Regions from separate parts of the Mus musculus genome. Here region 1 is reported to be linked to region 2. The links are microRNA targets in miRTarBase. Many come from high-throughput screens and were not tested one by one. Region 2 holds a microRNA gene; the other region holds the end of a gene's coding sequence.

Region 1 (16,420 bases), not on the chromosome of region 2:
CTTTCTTTCTTTCCTTCTTTCCTTCTTTCCTTTTTTCTGAGTCAGGTCTTATGTTGCCAAGGCTGGCCCCAAATTTTCTAGGTTGCTGAGGGTGACTTTGTGATGTTAAACTCCTGGTCATCCTGTCTCTACCCTCCAAGTGCTAGGTTACAGGTGTGTGCCCGTCACACTTGGATTATGGTGTGCTGGGGATCAAATGGGGTTTTGTGCATGCTCAGTGAACACTTTACTAATGCCTGCTATTTCAGCCTGCTATTATCAGGAAGTTCAAGTCCCCAGCCCAGGTCGTGACATCCCAGGGTCTAAGGAGTGGCGAACGAACGTCGCTGGAACCCCTGCCTCCTGCCAGCTTCGATTAAACAGACTGTTTTAGAGAATACATAAAAGGAAGAGGTGAGGAGCTGGGGCAGCAACAGCTCACAAAGAACATGCTGGAATAAATGTCATCTGGAATTAAGAGCCTGCTATCTGGTCCTGTCCTCTTTGATATTTTCATCAAAGGCTTGAATAATGGCCCCGAAGGCTAGATTATCAAATCAGGGGGAGATGTGGAGCTGGGAGACAGGAGGAATCAATGTGTGTGGCAGGACCAGTCTCTGACCCTGGAACATTACAGAGAGGCAGGGATGCCAGCATAGTCGAACTGGACCATCTCAGACTGACATAAAAATGGAGCCATAGCTCAAGCCCAGAAGAGGCCTGCTCCAGAGGATGTGTAGCACACCCCAATATTTTCTCTTACCCCCAAATCTTCCACCAGAACACACTGCCAAGGACAAAAAGGTGCTCTCTGTTCTCCTCAGACCGGATGACTAGCAAGGTGGAAGGTGGAGAAGGAGGGTGCCTGCAGTTGTAGGTAGAAACTTGGGCATGAAACCCAGTCACATGGGGCAGCGGGACTCACTCAAATACCCCAAAGAAGGAGAGGACATCTCTTGTCTGGGGGTTACCCTTGATGAAGGGCTTGCTGCTTTTTTGTTCCTGTGATGGAGGGACAGGACAGGGGCAGAACTGGCAGGGTCTCATGGGGCACTGTTTGGCATGGTCAGCATGCTTGAGTGTCCTGTGTGTTGACTGGATGATGGAAGATAGCAGAGGGCTGGTTTGGGGACAAGAGGAGGCTACAGGGCTCTCAAGGGGCAAGCATTGTGGAAAAATCAGCTTGCCTTTCTGTGTAAAGGGCTGGGAGAGGCTCCTGAGAGGACTCTGGACCCCAGTGGGTGCCAGCACCTGCGTCCTGGCCTCAGAGAGGGTTCTACTGTCTCTTTTGTCGTTCTTCCCAGCTGACTGTGGAACAGCCAGAAATAGAAGGAGGGGGCGGAGGAGAACGCATCGCTTCCATGTCTAAGTTCCTTACCCGAGCCTGAGGCTTGGTCTGTCCTGGGAGCAGGGAAAATACCAGTGCTCAGTGGATTTGATGGAAGTTTCCAACTGAGCTAGACTGGATGAGGGACCTCTCTACACCAAAGAAAAACACAAATCTTTGTGACTGGCCCTCTATGTCCTTCAAAAGACAGGAACAAGAGGTACAAACCAGGCTAGTGTTAAGCCCTGAAGGGAAGATGAACAAACCACCTAGCAGCCCTGTTTCTTCCTCCTTGTGGTCCTCCAGGCATAGACTGTGCAGTATCCTATTACAGAAGGGCCATGGGGTTTTCAATAGTAGCACAATGCATTTGGGTCCATCACCTTCCATTTCCCATGACAGGAGCTCCTCTAGTTAGGGATCCTGGTATTTCTCAGTAGCCCAGCAAAGCCCTTTGCTTTTTTCTCCCTACCATCGACATTGAATCTAGTGTTTCCCTAAAGGTCACAAGATGGCTGCCACAGTTCTGAAGGGTACACAGATCTGTCTAGTCAAAGTATAGGGCATATTTCTATTCCTCTGATGCCTTCTTATAGGAAAAAGGCCTTTCCCAGTAGTCCCACTGAAGCCATCCCTGAAGAGCCCCAAACTGAGACAGGACCTAATGTTGAGGTCACTGGGATCAGCTGAATCCCTGCAGGGGCCTGGGTTCAGGGAAGGAGGAGCCTCTGAGAGATGTCAGCAGTCTGTCATCAGGCAGAAGGTTGCAGAAATGGCTCTTGCTTCGGTAGTCCACTGAGTCTGCCACAATGACCCTCATGATGAGCTCTTGGTGGGCCGTGAAGTCAGTGGAGGCAGCATCTGAATGTTTGCCTTGTGTTCCTAATGGGAATGGCTTTCAAAGCAGAAGAGGGGATGAGTGTCTGTGTGGCACAGCAAGCTCCTGGGTAGGAGAAACAAGAAAGCTGTCCTTGAGAAAGGGGTCAGGCTGATGGGGGCATCCAGGTGTATACTTACAGGAAAGGGAAAGAAACAACTGGGTATTTGACCCAAGAAAGCCTGGAGGTTCCTGTCCCTGTGGAGAGCCACTTTGACTTGTTTGGATGAAAGCATCTGCTGTCCAGTGACAGCCTCAAAACACAGCTGTTGTCTCAGTGGAAGGAAGACATGATGGTCCTTAGAGTTAACACATAGTGGGAGATGGAGTCACTCAGAGCATGGGGTCCTGTGGGCTGGGCTGTTCAGCAGATTCTTGCTTGGGAAGGGCTAAGCAGCAAGGTTGTGGTTCATGGGAGGGCTGAGCTCAGTCCCAGGTCCTAGAAGGCACATCCTCTTCCATCTTTGAGAAGGGCCAGAAGACATCTTTACACAGGGCCCCCAGCAGGTAAATGCCTAAAGCTTTGTTGTTCCTCAAATTAAGGCAAGGCAGAACTCTTCACTTAAAGAGTGGGTAAAGCCCAGAGCGAGGCCAGAGGGCCTGGCAGACTCTCTACCCTGGGACAGTTCTGCTCTCCAGGGTTGGATCCTCACAGTCTATTGGCCCAAAGTCTCTCAGCCCTGATGTTGGAGAGTTCAAATCTCAGGACTTCTGGGACTTCAGTCTGATCCCGGAATGAGATCACAGCATTCCATGACTGTGTATGGCCTGTGTACAGGTACCCTATTCCTGGGAGCAAGAACTGTGGTAGATGAAGACGTGTAGAGGTGGCCAATGAATGTAGGGTCAGAGGTGTGATTTTTGTTCCCTCCTGCTGAGGGCAGAGATTGTTGGCTGGACATTTCACGGACAGGGTGAAGTACGTGAAGAGTCCCTTACACTCTGTCCCTATTTGCCAATGAATTCTTGGAACTGTGTCCACCTGGATCCTCCTTAAGCTTGGGACCTTGTCCAGCCACCAGAAAGCTGTAAACAACAGGGCACTGGCTGTCTCAGATCCCTTAGGACCTGACTGCTGTTCTGGCCCAGCACAGCAGCCACTAAGGAGACACTTTAGGCTCTGCTCAGTGCCTCTGATACTGAGTTCTGTGACCTTGGTCACAAGGCAAGACCTTTATCTTTCTGATGAGGGTGTCAATTCTTGCCTAACTTACAGTGTTGTCCTTGTGGTCAAATGCTGTTGATGTAGACTCTCCAGGTGTGTGCATCACTGACTAGAGGGGATCAAAGAGACCAGTACCATCAGAATCCCATCTATGAGTCCTCTATGCAGCTGGGAGACAAGGGGATGTGAGTCTTCTAGTTTGTCCAGATGTGATGTAAATTTCCAGCATAAAAGTGACTCAACTCCAGGATTAGAACTTTCCTCCAAAGTCAGAGCAGAGGGGCCAGGGTTCTGAGCTTGTGCATGCTCTTGTGTGCATGTGTGCATGTGAGTCTATGTGTCTGAATATGTGTGTGTGAATTACACACTCTTGTGTGTATGTGCATGAGAGTCTGTGTGTCTGAATATGTATGTGTGTGTGTGTGTGTGTGTGTGTGTGTGTGTGTGTGTGTGTGTGTGTGAATTGGGTGTGTACATGTTGACAAGCCAGGTTCTGTGGCTACTAACCCTGGCTGTGCCAGTATCTTGTTTCATGAGCTTGGATCTATCATTTCTTTTCTGTGAATCCAGTTCCTTTTCTCTGAAAGGTGGGCGCTGGTCCTCCGATCTGGGCACCTGCTTCACATACGTCTATTTCTCGATGTCCTTTGGCAAGGGTGGGGGGAGAAGCTGGAGGGCAGTTGCTTCAGCCACAGGGGGACACTGAGTCCACCCAAGGCTGGGCTTGTTAGGCTGTGGAGGAGAGGGAGCCTTGGTCTCATACTCTTCAATGGCCAGACCTTTTCTAATGACAGTGACCACTGCCAGGCAGTGAGCAATATGATGAGTGAGGGCACGAGCTTCATCCACCAACATTAGCCCTGGTTCCATGTTCAGCTTTGCTATCAACTCCCTGCCTGCTGTTAGACCAGTGGGCTGGCTGCTCTGAACCTTTTTTTTTTTTGGTACATAATGAGCTTTGCTAGTGTGTATTTCATGTTGTTAGAGCTGCCAGTTACAGATGACTTACCAATTATTAAAGTTTATATTTACCTGTTTGTTTATTAATTCATTCATTTATTGAGAACTTTATGTAACCCAGGATGACCTTGAACTTGCTATGTAGCCCAGGATGACCTTGAACTTCTGATCCTTCTACCTTTATCTCCCAAGTGCTGGGATTATAGGCATGTGACGCCTTTAGGCAGTGCTAGAGATCAAGCATTGGCTTTGTGCATGCTAGGCAAGTACTCTACCAACTGAGCTACATCCACAGACCCTAGTTGGGGATAAGAGGGAAGGATAAGACCTACTTCCCTATCAGTGATATTGTGACAGCCGAGGAGGTCCCCAAGTGTGCCCTGGGAAGTCTGGGAAGTATCAGGCCAACAGAGGATCTGGTATGGAATGAGTTTGAGTGTTACTCAAAACGAGCAGTGGTTTCGCTGCAGGTCTTCTAAAAACTTTTACTAAGCTTAGAGTTTTGTGGAGTTCAGACAGTGGTGATGTGTGCATCCTTCTTCCAAATTCATTAGAGCAAGGACTACCCTTCTCTTCCTTCTTGGTGTTTTGAGACAGGCTATATGCAGGCTGGCCTCAAACTCATGCCAATCTCCCTGCCTTAGCCTTCTGAATTGGAGATTGCAGGCATGAGTCACCAAGCCCAACTTAGCACCTCCCCTATGAGCGGCCACTGGCTTGCTTAGAGAGGAGCTGCCATTGCATCCCTCTTTTCTCTTGGCTCCCAGGAAGCTTATTCCCATTGACTCTCACCCAAATCCCAGTGCTGGTGGGAACTTCAGACATTTGCTCCCGTTCCCTCTCCTCTGCAGGCTTTCAACGTCCATTTTCCTGTGTCTTTCAGTTCAGGCAGCCTCAGAGGTGAGGAGGTTGGGGGCATGTGGGGGGGGCACTGACAGTGTCTGGACACGAAGATCCTGTGTTAGTGCTGAGCTCTGGGTAGCTCTGGGTGGGACTGGGGTGCAGGCCCCCTCTAGGAATCCCTGCAACATCTGTTTGTGATACTTTGTCCAGGGCGATGTTGAAAGTAGGGCAAGAGCCATGTTTGTGTCCCGCAAAGCACTGCTTAGGAAAGTCCAAGTGACCATGTGCTGGACACCACTGACCTCCAGAAGGACTCACCTCTGCTGACGCTGTATCTCATAGAGCTGAGCAGCAAACCTTTGGGCTTTGATTAAGACGAAGTAGTCTTAGGAGTGGATGAGCCAGGTTTTTACTGTGCCCAAACAGAGGCCAGTAGATTACCAAGAAACATGCCATAGAACCTGCCTGCTGTTACTTCAAGGGATGCCTAGAGATTCATCCCAGGGAGGCTGGTGTGTCCTGGAAAGGGCACAGGTTTTCTTTGAACCCAGAACCTCTCCACAAATATGTCCTATCTCTCTAGTTGGTCTAAGTAGATAGAAGGAAAGATTAAGGGAATGTGTCTCTAGCCCAGGTCCTTGTTTCTCTAGCATGTCTTTATCTGTGAGTAAAGGGAATCAACCAAATAGGTCCCAGGTGGCATTTAAAACAAGGAATAGAACGGATATGCACACCCTGAATGTGGTAGGGTGGTTGTGAGTCATGGCGTGCAGACAGATTTTGGTGCCAAAGGTATTACTATGGTTCATGCTTAGGGAAGCCTGGATACCCTTGGCTAGTTGAGTCAGGTGTTGGTACCAACTGGGCACAGTGCATCTGCTTTCTATATATCTGTCTTGGGCTCTAGGGTCCATCCCCAAGCATGTGCTACTCTAGACCATGAGTAGCACACCCTAAGAAAAGGTATTTGTGATGTGCCCATCTTTGAAAGTGATATTAGTGTGTGTGTGTGTGTTGTGTCCATCAGGCTACTGGGGTCAGGGAGGAGCTGAGGTCACCCCTGGAGGCTGGGGCATGTCCTGTTTGACTCTGCAGTCAGCTGAGGAGACAAAGTGGGGAGTCACCAGCTTTGCTTCTTATCCTACCTAGGTTGCCATTCATGGCTGTGTGACTCAGGGCAAGTTACTTGCCCTCGTTGGCCTCGTTTACTTGTGTACAGAGGGAGGAAAGGGCCCAGTCATTTCTAAGGTCCTGTTCTCACAGTCTGTTCCAGGAAGACGGAATCTTCTGAGCTCTGGATCTTTTGAGAAAATCCTAAGTGAAGCCAGGCTTCACTCCCAGGTTTCTACACAAGAAACCTGCACCCAAAGCAGTCTGAGAAGCCCCAGGGGAACGCACTAGGTGAGTGGTGGGACAGGGTGACAGGGTGACAGGGTGAATGACTAATGACAGAGGAGCGGGAACCAGAGCCTGGTCTCCATGGACAGCATTTATTAGGCGCCATTCTCAGTGTGAAGACAGATGGGCAGGAGCTGCTGAAAAGGGGGCCAGGGCAGCCACAGCCTGGGGACTTAGGGGCTGCCCGGGTGGGTGTGGGGATGTCACCCACACATATTGCATATTCTGTGGCAGTGTGCCCAGGCATAAGGCATTGGGGAAGCAGAAAGGCTGCCTGCATGGGAGGGGGTGAGACAGGAAGTGACAGTGGCCTTCTAGTTCCCTAGGCAAAGACCCTACAGGAGACCAGCAGTCCCCCATGCTTAGACCCTAGGGCCACTCTGCTGCCTTCCCCACCCTCTCTGTAACTTTGGTTGTGGCTCCCTCGGATCTGACGGGACTTGACCCCTCGAGGGCAGGGTCACACACAGGACAGAGGCAGCCAGCACTGCCTCCAGCCCAACATAAACACAGACAGCACCTCTCCAGCTGCTGGGTTCCATTCCCCCTTGACACAGGGGCCAGCTCCTCCACACGGACATGGGATACACACAGGCCAGATTCCTTCCACCTAAGGATTTCCCAGGACCTGGAGGACATGGTGGGGCTCTCTCTCTACCTCCCCAAATGGTCACATTGGCCTTACTCAGCAGTATGGAGCTAGGCCTGGGAACAGTGAGCAGAAGGCAGCTCTGCAGGGGAAAGGTTTCCCTTTTCATGGTACTGGGAATAAAACTTGGGGCTATACCCATAGCCCCACACATACCCTTCTGTTGTCCTGGTTTCCACCTCCAGCTTGTCCCCAGTAGCAAGCCACCCTCCACTGGGTTGCAGGTAGAGGAGGTAGAAGGCATAGCAGGCCCAATACCTCCTTCCCTCCAGAGGGGTGTTCCTGGCTGCAGTGGAAGTTACTCTAGCAACTTAGGATGCATTTATCCTGGCTTCTAGGCCAGGGAAAACGTCCCAGGATATACCTGTCAGCTGTCTGGGCTGCTCTGCCCAGTCCCTGAACTCTCAAGAGTGCCAACTGCTGGCTTGTAGTCCATGAGACTCAGTCCTTCTTACCTTGGTCCCAAGGACTTCCCTGCTTGTGAACAGAGACAAGGGTCCATTTAGAGCCTCAGTCTCTGGGCTAAAGAGTACCAGAGGCAGAGCCCTGGCAGTGGCTCAGGCTGGGGCTTTTGATTCTGGTTTAAACCCCAGCTGCCTACACAAAGCTGGGGTGTTGCCTGCAGGGGCTTCGCTTCTGAGGGCAGGCTGAGCCTGAAGAAAGAGCACTTGGGCTGGGAACAAGCCGGCAGGCTGTTCCCCTTCAAGACACCCCGGGCAAGTAAAAAAAAAAATTTTTTTTTTTTTACCTGTTTTCCTCTTCTGAAAAATGGCCATAAGAACTGCCCAGGTGACTTAACTAGAGTGTTATTACACTCAAATGAATACGGAGGTGGCACAGGGTTTCTGGGACAAAAAAACAAAAAACAAAAAAACAAACAAACAAAAAAAAACAACCTATGGACGAGTGAATGAGCAGCTGCAGCCAGGGACAGCAAAGGGGAGTCCATGTTTTAGATTCCAAGGGCAGTCCTGAAGGCTGGAGTCTCTCAGGAGCCCCTGAGAATGTTCCCAGACTCCAGGTGGCTCACCTACAGATGTCCACCCCGCAGAGGTGGAAGCCACAGTTTCTGCACACACTCTGCTCTAACATCTGTGGCCTGCCCTTTTTTTTTCTTCTTCTTTTTTTTTTTTTTCTTTCTTTCTTTTTTATCTTGCCCTCTGGGGACTAGCTTTAGGGGCTGCTGGGGTTTCCTTTTTTTTTTTTTTCTTCCATAACTGCATAGCCATGCAAAAAACAGAAGGGAGTGGACACGTAAGGTAGTGGAAGGCTGGGAGACATGGCTGGGGATGAAAGCCAGGTGGGACTGAGTGGGGGTGACCTGGACAAAAACACCTTGGGCTTTGGAGAACCCAGAGGAGGTGTAAGTAGAAGAGAGAGAGAGAAGGAGGGAGGGAGGGAGGGAGAGAGAGAGAGAGAGAGAGAGAGAGAGAGAGAGAGAGAGAACCAAACCAAAACAGAAAACAGAAAACAAAACCCGAGAACATTAGTTCCCTCCGGAGGTGAGGGGTCTGGGGCCCCCGTAGGGCCTCTGAGGACTGGGGGCTTCTCAGCAGCTCCCCGTGGCTGCTTTCCGGGCTCCCCACCCCCTAAGTTTCACATTTCTCGGAATTCTTCGGCTCCGATGGGGGCTCCAGGGGTCCTCAGAGCCCCGCCTCCTGCTGGCTAGTGATAGCCTGCACAGTTGGAGATTTAGGGGCTGGGGAAGAGTAGAGGTGGTGGTGGTGGTGATGGGCTGGGGACTTCCCATGGGGCCCGAAGGCGTCTTTGGGGGGCCTTCTGGCCAACTCCTGCGGCTTCTGCAGGCAGGTCCCCTACCCCTCTGGCTCACAGGTGCTCCAGGTCTGGCTGTGGTTCACACCGAGCTCCTGCGCTTCATGAGGCCGCGGAAGGCAGCCAGGCTGTGCAGGCCCGTGGACACCGAGCTGATGGCCGAGCGCTGCGTCCCGCTGCACAGGCAGGGGTGTGAGGGCGTGTCGCTGTAGCGGCCGCCGCCTCCCGGCGACGAGTGGCTGTGCTCCACGCAGGTGTCGGACGTGGAGAGGTCCCGCGGGATGATCATGGGGATGGAGTACTGCAGCTTCTCGCGGCTCTTGTACCAGAGGCACGAGCACATGGACTGGAAGTGCAGCACCTCGGCATAGACGTTGCGGAAGCCGCTGCCACCGACGCCCACGCCCACGCCTCCCGCGGCCGCAGCGCATGTGACTGGGTCGCGGGGACGCACGCCGTCGCCCAGGCTACCGCTCAGGCAGCTCAGGCCACCCAGGCCGACAGCCTGGCCGTTGTGCGTGAGCAGGGCGCGGTGCTCCGCATCACGCTTCTCGTCCTCGGCGTTCATGGTCATGAATCGCAGCACCACGAGGTTGAGGAAGGCGCCGATGACCGTGAGGCCCGTGAGGATGTACACGAAGCTGAAGGCCACATACTGCGGCTGCGTCTGCAGCGCCTGGTCCTTCTGCAGCGCCACATAGTCGCCGAAGCCGATGGTGGTGAGGGTGATGAAGCAGTAGTAATAGGCCTGGAAGAAAGTCCAGCGCTCGTAGTAGGAGAAGGCAGCTGCGCCGATGCACAGCGTGCTGATGCACGACACGAAACCGATGAGCACCATGTTGGCCATGGACACCTCGGCGTGCCGCATGCCCAGCCCCCTCTTGGCACGGTGCAGCAGGTACCTCACGAAGGTGTTGATGCGTTCACCCAGGCTCTGGAACATGACTAGTGTGAGCGGGATGCCCAGCAGCGCGTAGAACATGCAGAACACCTTGCCTCCGTCCGTGCTGGGCGCCGCATGACCATAGCCTGTAGAGATCCGGGGAGAAGAGAGAAAGCACAGGCTGTGGGGCTGGTCTGGCAGGGGTCCCTCCTCCTCTGCCCATCCCCTTCCCTCCCCACTTTGCAGGTTTTGGACTTGGCTTTTCCTCCATTTCCCCACTTCTTTCTTTGCTAGGGTTTAGATATGTAGCCATGGCTAGCCTGGATGTCTGAATTTGTAGACTAGGCTGGCTTTGAACTCACTACATTGCTCTTTCTGCCTCCACCTTCTAAGTCCTAGGGTAACCGGCTTGCACCACCATGTCTGACGCCTCCGGCCCTAGCTATTGAGTCTGCTTTTCCATACGTGGGCACACCCATGTCCAGCGCTTCGGGCTAACCTTTAGTTTGTAACACGAAGTACTGGGATGATGATTCCAGAAGGCTTAGACTTTTCCAGGTCACATTGCCTGGAAGTTTAGCAATCCGAGTTTGAACTTGAATCTGCTTTCTTGAAAACTTGAGTGTCTCATGCCTCTTGGGAGGAGCTGGCTCCTGGTTCTGCTGGAAGGCTTGTCAGTAGGCAGGAGATAATGTATGTGTGTGAATGTCAGGTAGTCAGTTGAGAGTTGGCTTTCTGTGTAATACCTGTGGGCTCTGCCATGCTCTCTGTCCTCTGTGGGCCTCAGTGCCCGTGACTATGAGGGCAGGTAATTGGATGGAATGGCTTGTGACATGATGATTCAGTGCGGAGGGACGGAAACTGAGGCACACAAGGCCTCTTGATGGTGTCTCTGCTGCAGCCAAAGCTTATTGGTGGTGGTGCGGTGACCACTGGCAGCTTGCAATTTCCCTGAGTGGTTGGCCTAGCAATGGCCCAACCTTATCCCTACAGCTGAATTAATAAGTGCTCGGGGGGATTCCACCTTGTCTAAGACTGGGGTCTTCTTAGGGATTTGGTTCAAAAGTAGACTCTGAGTGTGTGCCTGTGTGCGAATGTCTGTGTGTGTGCGCGCGCGCGCGTGCGTGCGTGCACCCATGTGTGCATATGTGTGTGAGCGCACGTGTGTGTATGTATGTGTGCATGAGGGTGCCTGTGCGCGTGCGCATGTGTGAGTATGCCCGTGTGTGTATGTGTGTGCACATACCCATGTGTGTGCATGCATATGTGTGCATGTGTGTGTGAGCACGTGTGCACGTGTGCACGAGTGTGTCATTATCCTGCTCCTCTTCTGCCTCCATCCTCCACATTTGTGCTTATACTCTTCCCATCTGGGAGCCAAGCAGAGTCAGACCTGCCCCTCTGCACATCAAGTGACTATCAAAGTTTCTGCCTTGAGCTGGGTAGAGTGGCGCATGCCTGTAACCGCAGCGTGTGGGAAACTGAGGCAGGAGAGAGTGAGAGTTGGAGAGATGGTCTGAGCTACAAACCCTTCTCAAAACAGAAACTGCAGCAAAATCTTCCTGGCGGTCTGGGGCGGTGAGGGACGGTGGGGGGCAGTGGGGGGTGGTGGGGGGTGAGGAGTCAGGAAGGGTCTTGGATGAGAACCAGAAGCTTTGGGCACAAGCTCTGGCCTTATCCCTAGTGGTGTTGTGACCTCGAACAAATGACTCTTTCTCTTTGATCGTGTCTACTTGAAAATGAAATCTGTTCTGGTCACGTGCTTCTCCCACTTAGACCAGTGAGCATAAACACTTCAGTTTTTATTAAGAGAATTATGAGAATGAAAGAATGTAGGCAGAATTTCCAAGTATCTTTTCTTTTCTGGGTCTTAGGAAATCTCAACCAAACACTGCTTCTTCCAGGTAGTCTTCCTGGATTCCTCCTAGCTGAAAGTTATTAGTGCTTTATTTGGGAAGTTCTGAGAAGGCTTATTTATGAACTCCAGGTCTCCCAACTACATAAAGCTAAACATTAACTTTGGGGGGGGGGAGCCCTGGCAAGCCTGTAATGGCCCCCTCTAACTTCTACCTTCAAAGGGAGTCCTAATATACACATCATGATTATATTACAGACCAGGATATTGTGAGCATTGCCTGATCTGAGTTCAAATTCTCCCATCTACATAAGACATTTTTGAGCCTTACTTTTTACATCTGTAAAATGGGGCTAATATATCATCTGCAGCAAGGGCTTTGGAGGAATAAATGAAATAATGTATTGATGCACTTAGCCTAGAGCCTGGTATATCTCAAATGCCCCACAATAGCACGCTGATTAATAATGAAGGAGGTGGCAGAACACTCTCACGTTTCCAAGAGATCGCCCAGCTTGGGAGTAACTGCATTCCAGTGGAGCCACCTCTGACAGCCTAGGGCCGGTCCTTAGGATTCTAAAGCTCAGAGAGGCCTGGAAACAGATGTTTGGGGCAGGGGTAAAGGCTTCAAGACTGTCCATAAAATGGCTTCCCTGCCCCACTGTGGCATCTATCCAGTGGTTGTGCCCCTTCTGCCAGGGGCTGTACAGTTGAGCCATGGTGCCTGGCTTCACTGCACCCCAATAGGGCGAGAACAGATTGTGCATACCAGCTGGGTCCCACAGCCATCCACAACTCACCTCGACAGCTGGGCATGCTACCAGCTAGCACAGTGTCTCATCCTGTCCTTTCCTGTCCCTCAGACCAGCACCACACAGTATATGGACCCCTGACTCCTCTCTGGATATGACACTAGGGGCAGAGCTCTACACAGAGGGCACAGCATGGTTATGGCTCCAGCTGTGTAACCCTGGGCAAATTGCTGTCTGTCTCTGGGCTCCTTTGCCTTGTCTGTACTTGGGGTCCAGGCCCATGACCTAAAGCTGTTATTCCATGCCCTAGCGCTTGTCCCGATCTTCCTCAGGAAGTAAAGGAGACAAATGGCTTGGGGAAGCTTTCTGGAATCTTTGGAGTATTCAACTGTGAGAGGCCCTTGGAAAATCATCTGAAAACACAGGTTCCTGTGTGCGTGTGCGTGTGTGGTGTGTGTGTGTGCATGTGTGTGTATGTGTAGCCATCTATAGCCACCCCGAAGAGGAAGGAACCCTTCCAAAGCACCTGTCTACCTCTCACCAGCTTGCTCTGGGTTCCATTAAAGAATAATGCCCTTCAGGAAAACCCAGTGCCCTCCTGCCTGGCTTCCTTTGCCTGGATAGGCTGCCTACAAAACAGCTCTCCTGCTCGGCCCTGCTGGCTGGGCCCTCAGGTGCTGCCCTGGCCCCTCACCTGACATCCAGAAGCCCCTTTACCTTCTCCGCAGGGTTTTCCCCCTCCTTCTGCTCCTGCTCAGCTCCCACCCCTGAGGGGGGCAGTGCTCAGCACCCACATTTAGCCACAAGTACACCCCCAACTTGGTAATTCTCAAATCGAGTGACTCATCCAGACCTGACCCAGGCCCCTACCAGGGCCAGAGACAGTGCTTGACCTTTGTGGGGCAGATGGCCAGACTGGCCCTCACTCCCTACCACAGCCAGGCTCACTAATCAAAACTTTTACCCTTAGAATAAACTTTTAACTTTGCCCTCATGAACATCCCCCGGTCACTCTTTGATTTGTGCCTGACTGTTTTGCGGCTGGAGTGGAGACGTCCTTTGAGTTGGCTATGGCCCCTAGGCATTTCTCACTCTGTATTCATGCCAGGGCCATGTCAGGAGGGGAAACTGAGGCCCAGAGAGAAGCGCATGAAGCCTCAGCTGCAGGCACTATCTTGAGCCAGCTGAGATATCAGTAGGACAGGGGAGCCGCCCTGGAGACAGACTTTTTTCATCTTGGGGCTGAGGGTGAGCGAGCCTATCCCTTTGTCTTACTGTCACTGGACGAAAGGGCAAAGAAGCCATGAGGACCTGCTGACGTGGGTGCCTAGCTTGGATGGCTGCCAGCTAGGGTGGAGTCCGTCCCAGGGGACCCGGGACTTCTGGGAAGTCACCGGGAGTTTGGCCAACCCTGTCCCCCTGCAGTGGGGCAGCAGTGTGCCTAGTTTGGCTTTGCAAGGGAAAAGGTAAAAAGAACTACCAATTGCTGCCTCTTCAAGTCTCTGGTTGGGGGCGGGGCTCTGCTAGTCCCTCTGGGTACCAGCGCACGCACGCAGGGGCTGCTCTCTGAGGCTGATTCTTTTTGGGTACCCTCTCCTAGTACCTGTTAGACCAAACAGCCAGAACTCCTATCTTGAGCATAGACTCTGGCGGCTGCCTCCCTGAACACTCACTAGGGCTGTCCCTTTCCATCTCCCATCCTGAATCCACCACGGGAAGACAGAGGTTCTTACTAATCATTTGGTCTAGTCTTGGGGTTTTACAGATAAGTCACTGAGGAGCAGAGAGGCTTGCTCAATGCCTAGAGGTGGTAACAACACGACAAGGTTAAAGCCAAGGATTTTAGATAATGAAACCAGTCCCCTGGCTGCTGCCTAACAGTTCAGGTGTGGCCAAAGCTCCACCTACTCATTCAGTCAGAGCTATCGACTCTTCATAGGAAGTGACTTAGATAGGAGATGGGTCTGGGCACAGAAGCCACCAGGACCAGCAAGATAGCTCACTGGGTAAAGGCATTTGATGCCTAGCCTGATGGCCTGATTTAATTCCTAGGAGATTCCACAAGTTCCTCTGACCTCCACAATATACCACAGAATATATGTGCAGTCACACAGACATACACACACAGACACAGATACAGTCACACACACAAACACAGACACACACACAGACACAGACATAGTCACAGATGCACACAGACACACAGAGACACAGTCACACACACACACACACACACACACTAACACATACATACTCTCTCTAAATAAATAAATGTAATAAAAATCTCTTTTAAAAATTCAGTGGAGGAAGCTGTGGCTGGACATAAATGTTAATTATCAGCATAAATATTTTAGGATAGCAAGGAACTAAACAACAGTATTGAAAGCCTCAGGCCTCTATCCTCGTCTCTGCCTGGTGTCAGGAACTCAACCACTGGTTGTAGCTCTGGCTTTCAGAGATCTAGGGGGGCATGGAGAGGGTGTGTCTTCCCCTCCCCCTCTCCCTCCTGGTCTCTTCTCCCAGTGGCCTGGCTCCTTCTACTTGAAGCAGAATTCTAAGCTCTTGATAATAGGCTGGTCTTGGCCACCTGCTCCCCACTGGCGCCAGGAGTGTGTTAGCCTGCCTGCCTGCCTGCCTGCTTCCTACCCTTGGCCTAACTGGCCCCCAGGTGGACCCATGGCCCCATCTCGGGTGGAGCTGAGTGTGTGGAGCTGGAGGGCAGGAGGCTGAGGTCTGTCCTCAGCTTGGCTAGCACTAGCTTTGTGTCATCCCTTTTCATTCCTGGTTCTTACCCTGGCATTTTTCACTGTCCTGAACGTCTTTTAGTAGTTTCTCTGTTCAGCCACCCACTCACAAGATCAAAGCTTCCATTTGTGAAGTGTTGATCAAATACAATATTTTACTACATGGAACCAGCGCCAAGGTGATGATTCTTAAGACTCTAATTAGTTTATTTCCCCCATCAAAATCAATTAAGAACACACTTGTCAATCAGAAACTTGAGATTAGCATGGGATAATTGATTCTGCAAGACTGAATCAGGCTATCCTTACATGTGGGAAACGCTGCAGATAGGTAGGGCATCTGCAATTCAGTGAGGCAGAAAGTGCACAGGCTCCATAGCCAAATAGCTCTTAACCTTGGCCAGGTTCTTTAACCCTTTGAGCCTCTAGTTTCTCATCTGTGAAATGGGTACAGTGACCTCATGAGAGATTTGGTGAACTAGTAGATTTGAGATGCCAATGTGAATATATTTGGGTTCCCAAGATTGCATGAACATTAAAGCCCCCCCCCCACAACGTGCTATAATCAATGTTTATTGACATTAATTTCCTCAGATACCAGCTCAGTGGTATGTTAAGGGTTGGATGAGAAAAGAGTTGTTTGACTCAATTAAATTGGGAAAATAGGGACTAAAAAGAATGTTTTTATCATGTGACTTAAGTGTCACATGGTCATACCCGTCCGTGTTCCCATGAATAGCTGGAGGAATGTGTCATGTTTCTCATGTATTTGACGGCAGAACATTTTTCTCACAGTGCTTATTGCTAAGCTAGGGTTCCTCTGAGCATGGTTTGGGAAGCCCTCCTCTGTCACATCAAGAACTTATGTGGTCCTTCTTCCAGGTCCTTCTTTGACTCTGGGTCTCTGAGCCCCATCTCTGGGCAGATTAGAACCTTGGCAGTTCCTGGCTGTGCCCTGCCTCCCAGCAGACTTGCTTATCTAGAGTAAATACAGCCCTGGCCAGGGGAAAGATGAATGAGGTGACCTGTGGTCTGAGACACCCAGAGGCTTTGCACACTAGGTCGTTGTTGGAAATGGGGGAGGGGAAGGGTGACCTGAGTGCGCTGCCAGAGCTTGCTAAGCAGAAGGAAGGCAGTTCGGGCTCTGGGGAGGGACGATGCCAGCAGGCTGGGAAGGAGAGCGGACAGGAGGGAGCGGTCAGGATTGAGCTGTGG
Region 2 (16,420 bases):
TTGCAGTTTAGAGAAAAGAAAAATACCATCTTCTAACCAATGAAAAGCAGAAAGTGAAGTGACTTTTGGCTGAGCTGGCTAGTTCAGATCTTATGTCTTCATCTAAGAATGAGATTATTTATATTCATACTTTGCAACCCCCCCAAGCGTTTTCTGACCTCCACAATTGATCACCAACTCTATCTCTGTCTGTCCTTTGTCTGTCTTTCTCTCTCCCTCTCACCCCCTCTTTGTCTTTCTCTCTCTTATGTACACAATAAACAGAAAAAAAAGTAAGTGAATAAATTAGCAAATACTTTTAAAAAAAAAGAATCTTAATTGGCTGCAATTAGAGCTGTCTCAGAAGCTGAGAGAGGATAGTAACTAGTTCAAGGCCTGCCTGGGCTCCAGAGTGAGGTCGGATTGAGCAACATAGTGAGAGTCAGTGATAGAGTACTTGCTTCAACGCCACAAGCACACCTAATACACAGCATTTATGTTTATATCAATATTGTCTTAATTTGGAAGTCACTTAGAAAGTAAAGCAACTATAGTCGACCTGACCTGTCTGCTTCAGATATGGAGAGAGAGAGAGACAGAGACAGAGACAGAGACAGAGACAGAGACAGGGACACAGAGAGAGAATTACCAAGGCAGTCAGTGTAGGGTGAAAAGGGAAATAATTTCATTTAAGTTATGTTACAATTTTTTATTATTTTAAAATAGAAACAGAATAGAATAATTAGTTTAAAGATATATTAACTACTAAACTAAAATTAATGTATCTGAACCTGTTTACCCATCCCAACACAGTTAAAACCGAGAATCACCTTTTTAGTCATGAAGTATTTCCAATTGATAAAAGTCACAGGATGGTGAGAGAACAGAGTTTCTGTACCCACCACACATATTTACCAAATGCTCATATTTTGGAAGTCCAGCTTCCAAGTAGACAGAAGCAGAACACACATTCTGCTGACCAGGTTTAGTAAGGAGCCTCTCAGCTTGGAATCACTGTGTGCTTGTGACCTCTTGGTTATCATGTGAGAGAAGCTGGCTGATTCCTAGATATGGAAGGGGATGGAAAAGAGCATTGTTTATGGAAATGGAGCCACAGAAAAGTAAAATTCTCGAAATCCTTTATTGCGAATGTCCTATTTGATCATTTGGGAAACCTGCTATACTCTGTCATTCATTCTTTGCTTTTTTTATTTGTTTGTTTGTTTGCTTTTTGTTTTTGTTTTTTGAGACAGGGTTTCTCTGTATAGCCCTGGCTGTCCTGGAACTCACTTTGTAGACCAGGCTGGCCTCGAACTCAGAAATCCACCTGCCTCTGCCTCCCAACCAAGTGCTGGGATTAAAGGCGTGCACCACCACCGCCCAGCTAATTGTTTGCTTATTAACTAGAGCCAGTCTCCAAATGTGGGAGAGTAGAGAACCATTTTCAATAGAAAGAGCCGGTGAAAGGCACAGCACTAGCGGCACACAGTGTGTGGGTGGGAGCCCATGAACCTCAAAGCTACTGAGTGTTCCCTCTCCTGCTGCCCTGAACTCTGTGGGTGTCTGATTTCCTTAATACCCTTTTTCTTTTTCTTTTATAAAAGAAAGGGCTATTTATTGTAACCCTGCGTTTAGTGTTTTGTTCGGTGTACTTTGTTATTCAGCAATACATATTTTTATTTTCTATTGTTTATTTCACAGCATGCCTGGAGCTTATGTGTGTATTACGGATCTAAACTCAGGTCCTGTGTTAGTAAAGTACTTTTCCCGCTGAGCCATTTCCCAAGCCCCTGAAGCAATTCTATTTCCTAATATATTGAGAACATGATCGCCATGTGTTACCTATTTTAATGTTTGTTTCCAGTGGTACATATTGCGGGACAGATCTCACTATGGTAATCTTTAAATTCTGAGCACCTCTGTTGGACTAGGAGTTGTTTTGCTTGCTGGTTTTGTTTTTATTTGTTATATGTTGAACATCCTGAGAGGTAATCACTGCAGCACCTATGACTTTAGTGTAAATTATTCAAAATGGGAAAGTCCATAGATTATAAAAGATAATTTTCCACGATGAATATTACCAAATTTCCCTTCCCAAAGCTGGTTTCTTCCCATAATCATTTTTACCCCCTCTGTTGTGATTTTTTTTTTTTTTTACATTTTTTTATTCACTTATTTTATTTATATGAGTACACTGTAGCTGTCTTCAGACACACCAGAAGAGGGCATCAGATCCTATTACAGATGGTTGTGAGCCACCATGTGGTTGCTGGGAATTGAACTCAGGACCGCTGGAAGAGCAGTCAGGGCTCTTAACCACTGAGCCGACTCTCTAGCCCACCTCTGTTGTGATTTTTAAGAGAATCATTACAGAAAGTTCCCATAACTGTACTTATGTTCAAGGTAATATGATTTATTTCCTCAGGGTCACAGGATGCTGCTCATGACCTGGAGCTACTGAGAAAGCATAAGGTAAATGAAGAAAATGGATATTTCAACTCTGGCATCACATACAGGAAGATGTCCATTCTTCTATGGGAAGGATTGTATCCCTCACTTTTGCATAATTTGGATTGATCTGTATCACTTGGGGTATCCTTTTAGTAGCATTGCTGAAATAATTGCATCTATTTTAAATATATAGGACTGTAATTCATCCTTTCAGTTTTGTGTTCTTCTCAGATTCCTTCATGCCCTCATGAACTGGACTCTGGCAGGGCTTATTTCTTGCCTCTGCTTTCCCTCATGTCAGATTTTCCCTCATGTCTGCTTGTCACAGATCTACCTATTCTCGCTCCTGGCTCATATTCCAGTCTCATGGACACTGCTTCTGACGACCTCGCTTCACACAGCCAATAGGATTTATTGCTCATTTTCAGTATTTCTTCAGAGTAATTTTTAGCTATTTGCTGTTGTCAACTCATGTTAAGTGGTTTGGGGTTCTTATGCACTGAGTGGACCCAAGAAGAAGCCAAAGGTGTACAGCCGGGCATTGTGTGGTTGAGTGCAGAGTGATGGTGCCTTTAACCCAGGTTTGTCTTATTTAGTTTGGGGCTTGGGGGCTCGGGAAATGCTTCTTGGAGGAGGTGATGCTTCAGTTTTGCTCTGAGAGGGGTTGAGAAAGGAACAGGCATCTTAGGACTCAGATGGAAGAGATGGGGTGTGTAGACACCCCAGAGCTAGAAAAGAAAAAGGCTGACATTTTCAGGGACAGAAACAGCTCAGAAAATGATGTGAGAGCGAAGATAATGAGTGAGAGAGGTAAGCGTAAAAAAAGAGTATGGAGGGCCATGTAAAACCAGTGCAAGTTGTCTGGAAGTGATCCAAAACATGGCAGAAATCCAATGAGAGGTTTTATCTAGGGAAATAGCAGGATTACATTGGCTTCCAAAAAAGATTTCTCATTAGAAGCCGCATGGGAAATAGACTGTGGGAAATGCTTGAGCTAGAGATGGAGAGGCCAACTGTGAAGTTATTTTAGTACTCTTAGAGAAGATGATAGTAGTGGATTTGAGATATGCTTAGATATCCAAATCCTTACAATTCAGTGATTGCTTAGTTATAGGGAGAAGGGGCTTCCTAGTTGGTTGCTGGACTGTTTAGGAAGGATTAGGAGTTGTGGCCTTGTTGGAGGAGGTGTCTCACTTTCAAAAGCCCATACCAGGCACAGTCTCATGCCATCTCTCAGTGTGGATCAGATGTGGGCTCTCAGCTACTGGTCTAGCACCATGACTGACTGGCTGCTGCCAAATCTCAAGCAAGCCCCCACTTAAACGGTTTCTTTTAGGAGTTGCCTTGGTCATGGTGTCTCTTCCCAGGGGTAGAACTGCAAGTAAGAGAAATTGGGTGGCACCAGGAAGGCGTTGAGTTAAGGCATTAACATTAAGGCCAATGTTAGAGAAGTAGAAGATTCTGGAAAGTCACTCGAGGAAAGTGTAGACGTAGTAGTATGGATCCAGGTGCACATACCAGGAAGGGCCTACAAAGTATGCAGGGATGTATCATTTATGGAAGTAAGGCAGAAAGAAAGCGTATAGGTAAGGCAGTGAGACCTGATGGGAAGATGTAAAGGTTGCCATGACACTTTCAGAGGAGATCATCTCCTCTAAAAGGAGCAAACAAGGCAGCAAGAGACTGGTAGGGCAGCTTGTGTGAGCTGACTTCTCTGAGAGCATTCATCTCACTGAGACTTCATAACTGGCAACTGTGATAAAGGTGGGAAGAGCATTTCGGCTGAGAGAAGAGCTGTGGACAACTACCACCTCTCCTCCCCACACACACTGGTGTGGGCTGAGACAAGTGGTACACTGGGTAAAGACCTTACTCATCGTATGTTTGTCACCCACAGCTCTGAGGGAAACAGCAACTGATCGAATGGAGGATAAAAAATGTGACGTGTTAATTATTTGCAGTTATTTCCCGAAGGAAAATATCTAATGATCAGTTCATTAGCTAGTCTGATACCTGTGCCTGTCAATTTACAGACCTGTGTTTAATTTAGCTTCTCTTTGATTTATTACGCTTATTAGCACGATAATGAGAAATAACGACCCTTAATTGCGTAAACATGTGAGAATGCCTGGATCGCCTACCAGAATCCTTGCACACCAACAGTTCAACAAAACGAGAGAAAGTTTCAGCCTTCTTTCCACTAACTGATCAGTGCTGTTCAGGGTAATGAGGCAAATGGAATCTGAAAAACCTTTGCATTAGCAAGTTGTGGTTTTGTTTTGTTTTGTTTTTGTTTTCACTGCTCCTGTTTTAATGGCATACTTGTCCACATTCTGCTTCACTGTTGGGGTGGAAAAGAAGATCATCTCTATCGCACCCTGCTCGTTCTCCGCACAGTCACCCTCTTAGTCATGCCTAGGAAAAGCGAACTCCTCTTACTATCCTTACTATAAAGGGCATCCCAGCCCAAGGCCAGCATCAGTAAGCAGTTCTCTACCTGAGAAATATAGGGAGGCTTTATTGGGAAAAAAAGGCCTTTTAGGTTGGGTCCCTCATCATCTCTACTACCTGTGGTTCACTGCAATAAAACAAACCAACCAACCAACTGACCAAAAACCACCCCTTGTCACCAAAGTTTTTGTATGGCTATGAACTGAGGGTGTTTGTTTGTTTTGTTTTTTTTTCCCCCAGTAGATCTTTTAAGAACTTTCTGCTAAGGTCATTGTTCACTCAGTGCTTGTGATAGTAAGTTCACCCTGGTCTTCATTTTCATTGAGTTGGGTTACAACAAAAGGGCTGTACATGTATTATGAAGGAGCATTGCTGTTGAGGGATGAGGCAGAGGAAAGGGCACAAAGATGATGTATCATTCAGTGAGTCAAGTTATATTTCTGATTATTCTTATTATGGAAATTAACATTATAGTCTATTTTTAGATTATCTGATTCATAGAACTTAAAATTCATCTTTTTTTTTCTTTCCTTTAAGGTGACTCATATTCTCAATGTTGCATATGGAGTTGAAAATGCTTTCCTCAGTGAGTTTACATATAAGACCATTTCTATACTGGATGTGCCTGAAACCAATATCCTGTCTTATTTTCCAGAATGTTTTGAGTTTATTGAGCAAGCAAAACTGAAGGTGAGGTTTGTTTTGATACAGTTATTCAGAAGTAGAAATTCAAAAACATAGGACCACCGCCCAGTCTTTGTACATTTTGCAATGGATCTGTGAAGAGCCATTGTGAAAATTTCCCTCCAGCAATACTCACTAACTCCTTAAGGTTTTCATTCTCTAATTGGTTTTTTCTTTCTTAATGAGAGGTTTGCTTTTTATATTAATTTAGTTCTGTTCTGAGTTCTTACCAAGAAACACTAGGAGATAAACTCCCTCACTTAATGAATCTTTCTTTGCAAATATGTAGTTACATATCCTCGGAGGCTGTATTGGGACCTGCATTTTGACTGATTCATAAGAAACCAGATGGACCAAAGGGTACAGTCTGCTCTAGTCTTGTGAACGTATTCGTGACGATGAATATTCATTCATTTTCATGACTAAGGCACAGAGACTGTGTATCTGTGCATTTACATTTTTGTTGATATATTTATTGAGGCAGGGTCTCATGCAGCTTAGGCTAAGTTTCTGACTTGCTGGTGTAGCCAAGGATGATCTTGGACTTTTGATCCTCCTGCCTTTGCCATCCCAGTGCTGGAATTACAGCTGTGCATTACCATGCCTGTTTTTATGTTGCCCTGGGATGGAACTCAGGGCTTTGAGGCCAAGTAAGTACTGTACCAACTGAGCCATATCTCTGGCCCTCATGTGTTTGGAACCATAGAATTTTAAGGAAGAATAAAATTTTTTTGTGTGTGCTGAGATTATATGGAATCCTAATCAAGAATTGTCTGCTGGTTTTGTGACTTTAGAAGATCAGCATGGCATGGCGTATTATTTTAATCTTAATTTTTGATCTGCATCAACGTTCTGATAGGCAAGGCTTCTAGGATGGTTATTACCTAAAGTTGTTCCTTGAAATGATATTTTTTGTCAATATTTTTACATTTTTATTATAATTAAGTTTATAATTTTCAAAATCAATTCCTTTAATTATTATGTATAACTGAATGTATATACATCTTTAATACAGAATAATATCATAGAATTCATACTTACAGACTTGTTTATTGTTAGCAATATCACATCCACAGGCAAGATTGTAGGTGGGGTTTATATAATAATTTCCTCCCCAAAGAACTAATCAGGAGTTCCATGGTAACTCTGCTATTACCTTCCACGAAAGAGTGCATGCCTGTAGTGACAATTTTGGAATTTTGCTTTCTTTAAAAAACATAGAAATATAAGAATATATTTTCATTTTAGTCTCAGGCTGGGATATGGGACGGCTTCACAGCAGCTGACTATGATTTGCTTCATGCTCTAGCTGGGGTGTGATTTTGCCAGCTGCAGTTAGTTTCTCTAATTTTGTGACATTTGGGATTCTGGGGACTTTTCAGGGGGTATATAAAAGCTAGGGCCCTGAGAGGTGGTGTAGGTTGTTGATTGGTTGTTGTTGATTGTGGTTTGTTAGGTAGTCATGTGCGAAGAAGGAACCAGAAGTAGAAATTAGTTATCTTCACAAGGAAGATCAAACTTGCCCCAGGGAAATCAACATTCCTAATCAAGAGGAAGTAGTCTAAAGATAATGGCACCCCCTGACTTTATTCAGGGACCTCTTGCCTCTCCTCTCTATCCCTTTTTTCAACTCTATCTAGTGTTGGGAGGTTGAAAAGGCAGAAGAAAAGGGGTGGAGAAGGGTGGAAGGAAGAAGAACTCACACAATAGCAAAAGAACAGCTACACATCTACCAGCTCCTAACCTTGAGCATGAACCTGAGCTTTGAAACCATGAACCTCTAGGGAACATGCTCAAAACATATTCAAACTACAACACCATGTCTAGACAGTCATGAATGTCGTCAGAGTGACCTGTGCTGACAGATGCTTGCAGTCAGACTTCAGCATGATAATGAGGTAGGACCTGAGTCTTGCTTCACTGACTGACAGAGTGGACTATCCAAAAAGGATTGGAAATATTTCATTATTTAATTTAATTTAATTTATTTATTTATGTTAAAAGATTTATTTATTTTATTTATATGAGTACACTGTAGCGGTCTTCAGACACCCCAGAAGAGGGCACTGGATCCCATTACAGATGGTTGTGAGCCACCATGTGGTTGCTGGGATTTGAACTCAGGACCTCTGGGAGCACAGTCAGTGCTCTTACCCACTGAGCCATCTCTCCAGCCCTAATTTTATTTTTAATATAGCATTTTAAATTTAGTTTTTGAGAATTTCATGCATGGACACAATGTATTTTAATCATATTTCTCCCCTACTCTTTTCCCTCCAACTCCTCCAAGATCCTTCCACATCCCCCTCCCAGATTCATGTCCTTGTTTGTTTTTTCAATAACTCACTGAGTCTGATTAACTGTCCATATAAACATCAGCATGGGGCACCCATGGGCATAGGGCACCCACTGGAGCGTAGTTAACCTATACTTATAAAGAAAACTGACCCTTCCATTCCCTAATACCAGTCAACTTGTCAATAGCTCCTCAAGCAGGGTCAAGACTTGATGAGCCCGCGCCATCCCTGCTGGAGCGTTGACTGGCTTGGTCTTGTGCAGGTCTGGTGCAGGCACCATCAGCTGCAGTGGGTTAGTGAGTGCAGCATTCCTTCCGTGTTCAGAAGACACTGTTGCACCCAGCCTCGACTTCTGGCTCTGACAGTCTTTCTGCCCCCTCTTCCACAATGTTCCTGGAGCCTTCAGGGGAGGGGTTATCACATACGTGTTCCATTTACGGCTGAGCACTGCACAGTGGCTTATTTTTTTGCTTGTTGACTGGTCATGAGTGTCTGTATTACCAAGACCCTTCCCTGGATGAGGACTGAAAACTTGACAGTCAGTGTCTTTACCTACTGGATGGCTCATCTTCCCTTAGTGTGAACTTTTAGGGTAACAAGATTTCTTTACACAAGTGCACACTAAATTGATTTATTTACTTAGCAAACATTCACAGAATTCCTACTATATGCTAAGAATTGAACTTAGTGCTAGAGATTCAAAGATGGGTGAAACAGCCCTCCTCTCTCATCTCACCTGCAGAGGGCCAGTTTTCTTAGGACAAGAGCCAGGGTCGGCTGCCCGAAGAAGAGGTAAAGGTCTGTGAGACATAGCATAGCAGTAAGTGTAAAGGGAACTTTGCTTCAGTATTTTTAAGCTCTCAGAACAAGGAGTAAAATCCAACCATTCTTTTGCAAGTACCTTCAAGGACAGTTTACATAAAACTGGAAGGAAGGAATTTAAAAGCTATAGGAAGTAGTTATTGGGTCTGGAGGATTTGCCTAGCTGTTAAGAGCACTTGTTCCTACAGAGTACACAGCTTCAGTTCCCAGCACCCATTTGCTGTCTCACAACCATCTGTAACTCTAGTTTCAGAGAATCCAACACCTGACCTGAAGGTACTTCATACACAAGGTGCCCATGCATGCATGCATGCAGGCAATATACATAAAATAAATCCTAAAAAGAAAAGTGGTTATATAACGTAGTGAAAAGAAAATATTAATACTTTCAAATGAGTAAATTTGAGATCTGAAGATTTGTTTTGAACTGATACACACACACATATACATATATATATATATATATATACATATGTACATAGTAATTTTCAAGTTGTTGTAATATAATTTTTAAACATTTTAAGTCATAAAAAATTAGCTGTTGGTACAAAGTAAAAAAAAAAAAAAAAAGAGAAGAAGAAGAAGAAAAAGGTTGAGCTGGAGAACCGAGAAGCACTGGGTGAGTTCAGAACCACCCTGGGCTACTTAGGGAAAACGTGCCTTAAAATGAAAAGTTAAAAAAAAAAGGACTGGGGATAGAGTGCTTCCTAGTGTGTACAAAGCTGTAGATTTAGTTCTCAGTACTGCAAAAAGCAGAACACACACACATACACACAAACAAAAAAAGAAAAGGAGAGAGGGGGGGGGCTAGAGAGATGCCTCAGCAGTTAAGTGCTCGGAGTGAGTTCTCAGTACCTAGGCAGCTCACAACCCTCTCTAGTTCCAGAGCCCTCTTCTAGCTTCCATGTGCACTGCACCCATATGTGCATAAGCCCACTGTCTGTGAGTGTACACAGACACATATTGTTTTTAAAAATAAAAATAATTTTTTAAAAGTGAGAACATTTCTTGATGTATAGATGTATATAGTGAACATTATTTTCCTTTCTTTGTGCAGAAACAAAACAAGAAAATGAATCATAGTTATGTCTAAGAAAACACTTGAAGTATACTTGTTGATGTAAGAAATTTTAAAATACTGGTCATTTTGTTGCTAATCATTCTTTTTTTTTGTTTTTTTGTTTTTGTTTTTGTTTTTGTTTTCATTTTAAACAAGAAGTTTATTTAAACAGCAAGACGCTTGACTTGAAGGGAAAACTATCTAGGATCATTTTGTTCAAGAGTAATTTATCCCTACTTAAAGACAGATTGCCCTACATGTAACAGCTACGTACAAAAAAGTTATAAAATTGTCCTTGGTTTTACAATGATAAATGAAAAACATTAAAATTCTCCAATCGAACAAGGTATGCAAGGATTTGTTGTTGTTGGGTTCTTTTGTTAAAACAATGAGAGCAAAATAACTTACTGGAATATAAAGATAAGAGCTGAATGAGCATGCCACTAGTGGAGAAGGGGGTATTTTCACAAACCCAGTATTTTTCCCCAGACCACCTCCATCTCATGTCAACCAGAACAGAACATCGGTAATTTAGTTTAAAAAAGGAAAAGAAAGAGAGAGCACTATGCGTGTGCACATACACCAGTTACTTTATGTACAATAAAGAAATGGGGACAGGGAAATGAAAGAAGAGAGAAAACTATACTGTAGTAGTCAGGATGTGGTGGGACCAAATTGTGGCTTTCTAATTGAGAATGTATTCTTGGTCTATAACAAAATTCTGGAGTAAAGTAGCAGGCTCCCTTTTTAGTAGACACCTCCAGTCTGCTGCTGGAACACATCAATCGTATCTTCATCCTCCATTTCCAACTGTGCAGGTGTGTCTGTTTCGTTGATTGGCTGCCCATCAAACCGGAATCTGATCTGCCTCATTGACAAACCCTGCCGTTCACAATAGGCTTTCATTAGTTTACTAAGTGGTGTATGTCTCTTAATCTTAAACTGCACCACAGAACCATCCTGTCCCGCCACCTTCAAATTAATATGATCATTGTTCTCAGTCTTGACTCCTTCCTTGGGTTTCTCGTCGGCCATGGCGAGCGCCGGAGTCTCCTCAGCTGCCGCTTCACAAAAGAGGCACCGGGTCTGCACTGAGGGAGCGCACCGCTAATCATTCTTTAGAAGAGATACACTTGCAAGCTTGATAGAATGGGTTAAGAAAGAAATTGTACCACAGATACACAGATGTGAGGAAGCTGCCTTGAAAACCTAAAATAGCCAAGTGACCCATAACAACAGTAGTGTGTGCCCCGTGCTTGCGGGATAGGGGCTCCAGTAATTTGTTAATTCGTCCTGTCCCTTTTCTGTGGTAGCAAATGAAGAGTGGAGAAAGGAAGTTGCTGAAGGGGCTAATTCTGTGGTGTGTGTGCTCTGTTCACTATAGATCATTAACTTTTTAGAAGCCTGTACTAGGCCAGGCTGTATCAGTGCTGACCCATCAGATCTACTCCATTCATTATTAATACGCTATTGCCTCCATCAGTATCCACCCACACTGTTCATTTCTCTTGTAAAGTATCGTTTACAGGTCACCCGAGACGCTCTTCACTCACTGACCTCACTGCTGGTGTCCAGTTACCTTTTCCACTCCATGTTCTTATAAGCTGTCCAAGCCATCATTTACTGATGAGTTAAAAACATTTTTAATTTACTTCCTTACAGAATAATATTCCCCAGGGCAAAATGTTTTTCCCCTGCCAGTCATTTTGTATATAGATGTTCAAGCCAGTGACACCAGTTATTTATATGCATGGGAAGTTAGTAGGCTTTTATGTGTACTGGGCTGAATCACTTGAGTCCTGTAAAAAGTGCCATTTCAGAATTCCAACCACATTATCCGAGCATTTCAGTCTGGGCAAGAGCAGATATTTATTGGATGATTTTTTTTTTTTTTTTGCAATGCAATTTTTTTCCCTCATTTTTTTTTTTTTTTTTTGCAATGAAATGTATTCTGGTAAATACATAGACAAGTCATTTACTTTGTAGTTTTGAGTCTACTAAGAATGTGTAATTAGGGCTGGAGAGATGGCTCAGTGGTTAAGAGCACCGACTGCTCTTCCGAAGGTCCTGAGTTCAAATCCCAGCAATCACATGGTGGCTCACAACCCTCTGTAATGAGATCTGATGCCCTCTTCTGGTGCGTCTGACGACAGCTACAGTGTACTTAGATATAATAATAAATAAATCTTTAAAAAAAAAGAATGTGTAATTAAGCCTTCTCAGGTGTCTAATATGAACTTTGTTTGACGGCGTTTCAGGATGGCGTGGTTCTCGTGCACTGTAATGCAGGTGTTTCCAGGGCTGCTGCAATTGTCATTGGCTTCCTCATGAGTTCTGAAGAAGCCACTTTCACCACTGCCCTGTCGTTGGTGAAAGAGGCGAGACCATCCATATGTCCGAATCCTGGCTTCATGGAACAACTCCGCACCTACCAAGTAGGCAAGGAGAGCAATGGAGGTGACAAAGTGCCCGCGGAGGACACGACCGGTGGTCTGTGATCTGTACTCCAGCAGAGGCAAACGACTTCTGCATCAGACTCTGTCCTCTTGCCTGTGTTTTGGAAGGAAACTTGGAAAACTTCCCTTTTCTGTTGTCTTTTACCAGTGGAAATGAACGTTACCTTTGTCGCCCTGAATTAATACATTTTAAAGTTTTACCTTTTCCTTGTTATTTCAGTATCTAGTTAAGTGTTTCTTTGAGTTCTAAGAGAAAATAGTGTATTATCAAGTCAGTAAATCAGTGGTTTGTGTAGGAAAAAGTTTAAACCTAAAAACCTTTCTTAGAGTTAGAAAAACAAGCCATGAAGCCTTTTAACCCCTTCTTTTCTCATATGCTTTCTGACCTGAGAACCTTTGAAGTGATGAACTTACTAAGTGAAGACTTAGCATTTCAAAGGGAAGTCAAATTTTTGAGAATATTTTTAAGGTTAAAAATAATACCTGTACCTCCTCCCCTCTCCCCCCGCCAAGAGTACCAGAATCAAAAGGAATTTATATTCATTATATAAACATTTATATAATGATTATAAATTCATGTGATCGTTATATCCTCTTATAAAAACCTAATTTCCATTTTCACTTTTTTTTTATTTTGACTTTTACATTTGGTCCTATTACAAACATTTCTCTTATATGCTTCAAGTGATTGTGTAGATGCTGTGATTTTATGATTTTTTTAAAAATTAGGTGTTATCTCTTATACTTTGTGGGGTTTTTTTTTGAAACTTCAACTTTTTTTAATTAAATTGTTTTATTTATTTACATTCCAAATATTCCCCCCCGACCTGGGTTTCCCCCCACCCCCGCCAGAGTTGTTCACCCCATCTGCCCCTTTGCCTGAGAGGGTGCTCCCCCACCCACCCGCACACACATCAAGCTTTTTAACTAGGGTGCTAAGTGTTCTGTTTAGGGGTCACCTACCATGCTTTTGGAGTTTCCTTGGATCCCTAAAAACTGCATTATAGTGAGAGACGATTTTTAAAGATGGAATCTCAAGATTGATCTATTTTATTATTCTGCTGGAGAACATTTTTTAGGAAAACAAATATGAACCCATAGAAAGAAAGCTGTAAAGATTGTTGGGCTGCTTAACGTTATCCACATTGTTTCCTAGAGGAACACTTGAAAGAGGTTTCTTTTCCCTTTAAGGTTCCCATTCACCAAGTTGAACTATGTACATTATAAATTTGCTTCAAGGCTTTGAACTTGGGCCAGGGGATTGCAGATCCAGTGGCAGGGGATTGCAGATCCAGTGGCATGCTTAGTTTGCCAAAGGCCCTGACCTCCATCATCAGCAACACACACACTCGAATAAATCTTTTACAATTTTATGTAAGTACATACTGCAAATCTTAACTTTTTCTAGTTATGAGGGAATTCTTTCACGCCTTTTGAGTGACATTTGTGATAAGTGCTAGAAAGATAAGTGGGTGTTGACTGAAGGTGGGTGGGCTGTGGCAGATTTTTCAGAACTGAGTCGAGAGTATATGTAAAGGGCAAGGACTGGGGAGGAGCACTGAACGTTGGCGGCACGGAAGTTCCGAGATGTGGGAGCGGCGAGCTGGAGGCCATGAGATGCTGTCTGTGAGGGTGGACTGTTGGCATGTCAAGTGGGAGCTGGCAGAGTTTTGGGATGCTAGTCTTTTGGATTAGTGAGAAGATCGAGGGGTGGTAATCGGGAATTTGCTTAGAATGTTTTGTTGTTATTGCTTATTTTCACTTTTATTTTGTGTATATAGGCATTTTGCCTGCTTGTGTGCCTGTGCACCACGTGCATGCGGTATCCATGGGCCAGCAGAGGGTGCTGTATGGGACTGGGATTTCAGACAGCTGTGAGCTGCCATGTGGGTATGGAGAATTGAACCCAGATCCTCTGGAAGAACAGCCAGTGCTTTTAGCTGAACCATCTCTCCAGCTTAAAGAAATGGTAGTTCATTCATTTGAGACAGGGTCTAATGTTTAGCAGGTGGGCTCTGACTTGCTCTCATGGCCACCAAGCCTGGGTTAGCTGCTTGGTGCTGGGTTTCTTACATGCTAACTGAGCTGTATTCCCTAATCTTCAGAATATTCTTTTAAAGGTTCAGTCTGGTTGTATTGCCTAGAGTGAATTAGGAGGAAAAGCAAGACCAGCGAGGAGGTTAGGTCCAGGTTTGTAGTGGTGACGCTAGATTTAGTTGATACAGTAAAGATGGAAGGAAGTGGAAGCTAGAGAGAGGGCTCAGTGGTTAAGAGCACTCACTGCCCTGTCAGAGGACCAGAGTTTGGTTCCCAGCACAAGCATCAGGTAACACACAACAGTGTGTAATTGCAGCTCCTTTTCCAGGTTGTATGACCAGCCTTTGGCTGCTACAGGCACCAGCACACACACACACACACACACACACACACACACACCCCTACACATAATTGAAATAAAAATAAATCATATAAAAAGAAAACTTACAAGCCTTGACATTGAATTTTATTGAAAAGAGGAGTTTTCAAAAATCTCCCCAAGGTTTCCAGCTTCAATAACTAGAGAACGGGCAGTGCCCTTCTTTGGGATAAATATTCATTCCAAAGTTGACCCTTTATATTTGATTTGAGGTATCCTTGAGATAGCCAGGTCAAGTGAGTATGTCAAGAGACCAACTCAGTGGCACACTTGGGCATTGTTATGAACTGGCAGCAGGAATGGACAGCGTCACACAAGAAAAAGTTTAGAGTACAACTAAAGGTACTAAAACTGGGCCTTAGGAGTTAGATAGCTCAGCAGTCAAGAGCGCTGACTGCTTTTCCAAAGGTCCTGAGTTCAATTCCCAGCAACCACATGGTGCCTCACAACCATCTGCAATGTGATCTGATTCCCTCTTCTGGTGTGTCTGAAGACAACTACAGTATACTTACATACATTAAATAAATAAATAAATAAATAAATAAATAAATAAATAAATCTAAAAAACAAAAACAAAAACTGGGCTTTGGAAAACAGCCACATTTAAAGGCTGGATGGAGGGTGGGCCAAGAAAAGAGATATGGCCAGAGAGAGAAGAGAACATCCAAACACACTGTCTGAGGAACCAAGGAGGGCTTCAGAGTGCATGAGAAATAAGAGCAAATGATACTGAGGCTTTCCATGTGATAAACAAGTAATTGAAGATGTCTGGGCTCAGTGGCATGGAGGTTAAGTGACCTTGGAAAGATCAGTTTGGTGGAATAAGTGATGGGAGAAGCCAGACTGATGTTTTTGTTGCTATGTAGTTTGCTGAGTAATAAGGCAATAACATGCCTATTTTGGGGTGAATAAACCAGCGTATTACATATAAGGTTGACACTAAACTTTTCTATGATTCAGATGAGTAAACTAAATCCTGGAGTTACCAGTGTCCCTGATTAGTAACTGTTCAAAGTCCTCCGCAAACTACGTGTTGGCTAAATAAAAATAATTATCAGGCAAAGAGTAATTGCTTCATTGATTTTTCACTAATAGTTTTCACATAAGTGGTGACAAAAATGTATGACTTTTGAATATCTTAAAATTTGGGCTTATTTAAAAGATGAGAGAAAATGTCAAACAAAATTACAGAAAATAACATATTTATAACCACAATTCTAGTTTCCTGTCACTCACTCATCCTTTCTTCTCCCTCTTGAACACGTGAACAAGTCCCCTCAAGGTAAATTCCAGATGTAACTCTGTCAAGAATCGAGACAACTCTGCCTCCCCTGAAGTCTGTTTTGACTGTTATAACTTCCCTGAGCCTTTATCATATCCAATTAAACCTAATTGGTATTTGAATACAAGACCAAGAAACAAAATTGCACAGGAAAGTTATTTAAGTTTGGTAGTTACTCTTAGCTTTCAAAAAGCAAAAGTATCCATTTAGTTGGTTAAAAAAAATGAGAAGGCAAATCAGCTGAGCTCATATTTCACTGATGTCAGGCTGAGTATTTTCTGTCAGTTGTTTCCTATAACGAGACCATCAGCAAACCGCCATGTTTCTGTTTGTAACTGTTGACTCAAAGACACATAGAGATACAGCTTCTGCTATTATTGTTTATAGAGCCCCAAAATGCAGTGCCAACTGTTGGGTTTGTATTTTTGTTTGAGATGGTCCTTATGGTTTATTTACATCATGAAACTGTTCTGGAGATCACTTGATCTTGGCCACTGTGAAGTCACGTGAGTGCTTATATAA

The links. The annotated mature microRNA mmu-miR-684 reads AGUUUUCCCUUCAAGUCAA and lies in region 2 at 9,925-9,943, opposite strand. An mRNA with a match to its seed (bases 2 to 7 or 8) in the 3' UTR can be bound and repressed. Matches are read on the target gene's strand: a 7mer-m8 pairs with bases 2 to 8, a 7mer-A1 pairs with bases 2 to 7 and ends in A, and an 8mer does both.
Region 1: the mRNA of Kcnk3 is a reported target of mmu-miR-684. Seed matches in the 3' UTR shown: 8mer at 7,948-7,955.

The regions. Positions count from the first base shown.
Region 1 is chr5:30,615,471-30,631,890 of GRCm38, reverse strand. It overlaps Kcnk3 (potassium channel, subfamily K, member 3), which reads right to left. Exons shown (of 2, transcript NM_010608.2): 2 at 6,621-10,000. The coding sequence ends at 9,054. Among named protein-coding and RNA genes, the nearest start is that of Mir5625, 24 kb to the left of the region's middle.
Region 2 is chr2:80,618,790-80,635,209 of GRCm38, forward strand. It overlaps Mir684-1 (microRNA 684-1), which reads right to left and starts at 10,001; the gene lies at 9,916-10,001. It overlaps Dusp19 (dual specificity phosphatase 19), which reads left to right. Exons shown (of 4, transcript NM_024438.4): 2 at 2,405-2,451; 3 at 5,419-5,571; 4 at 12,003-12,872. The coding sequence ends at 12,242. It also overlaps the pseudogene Gm13690.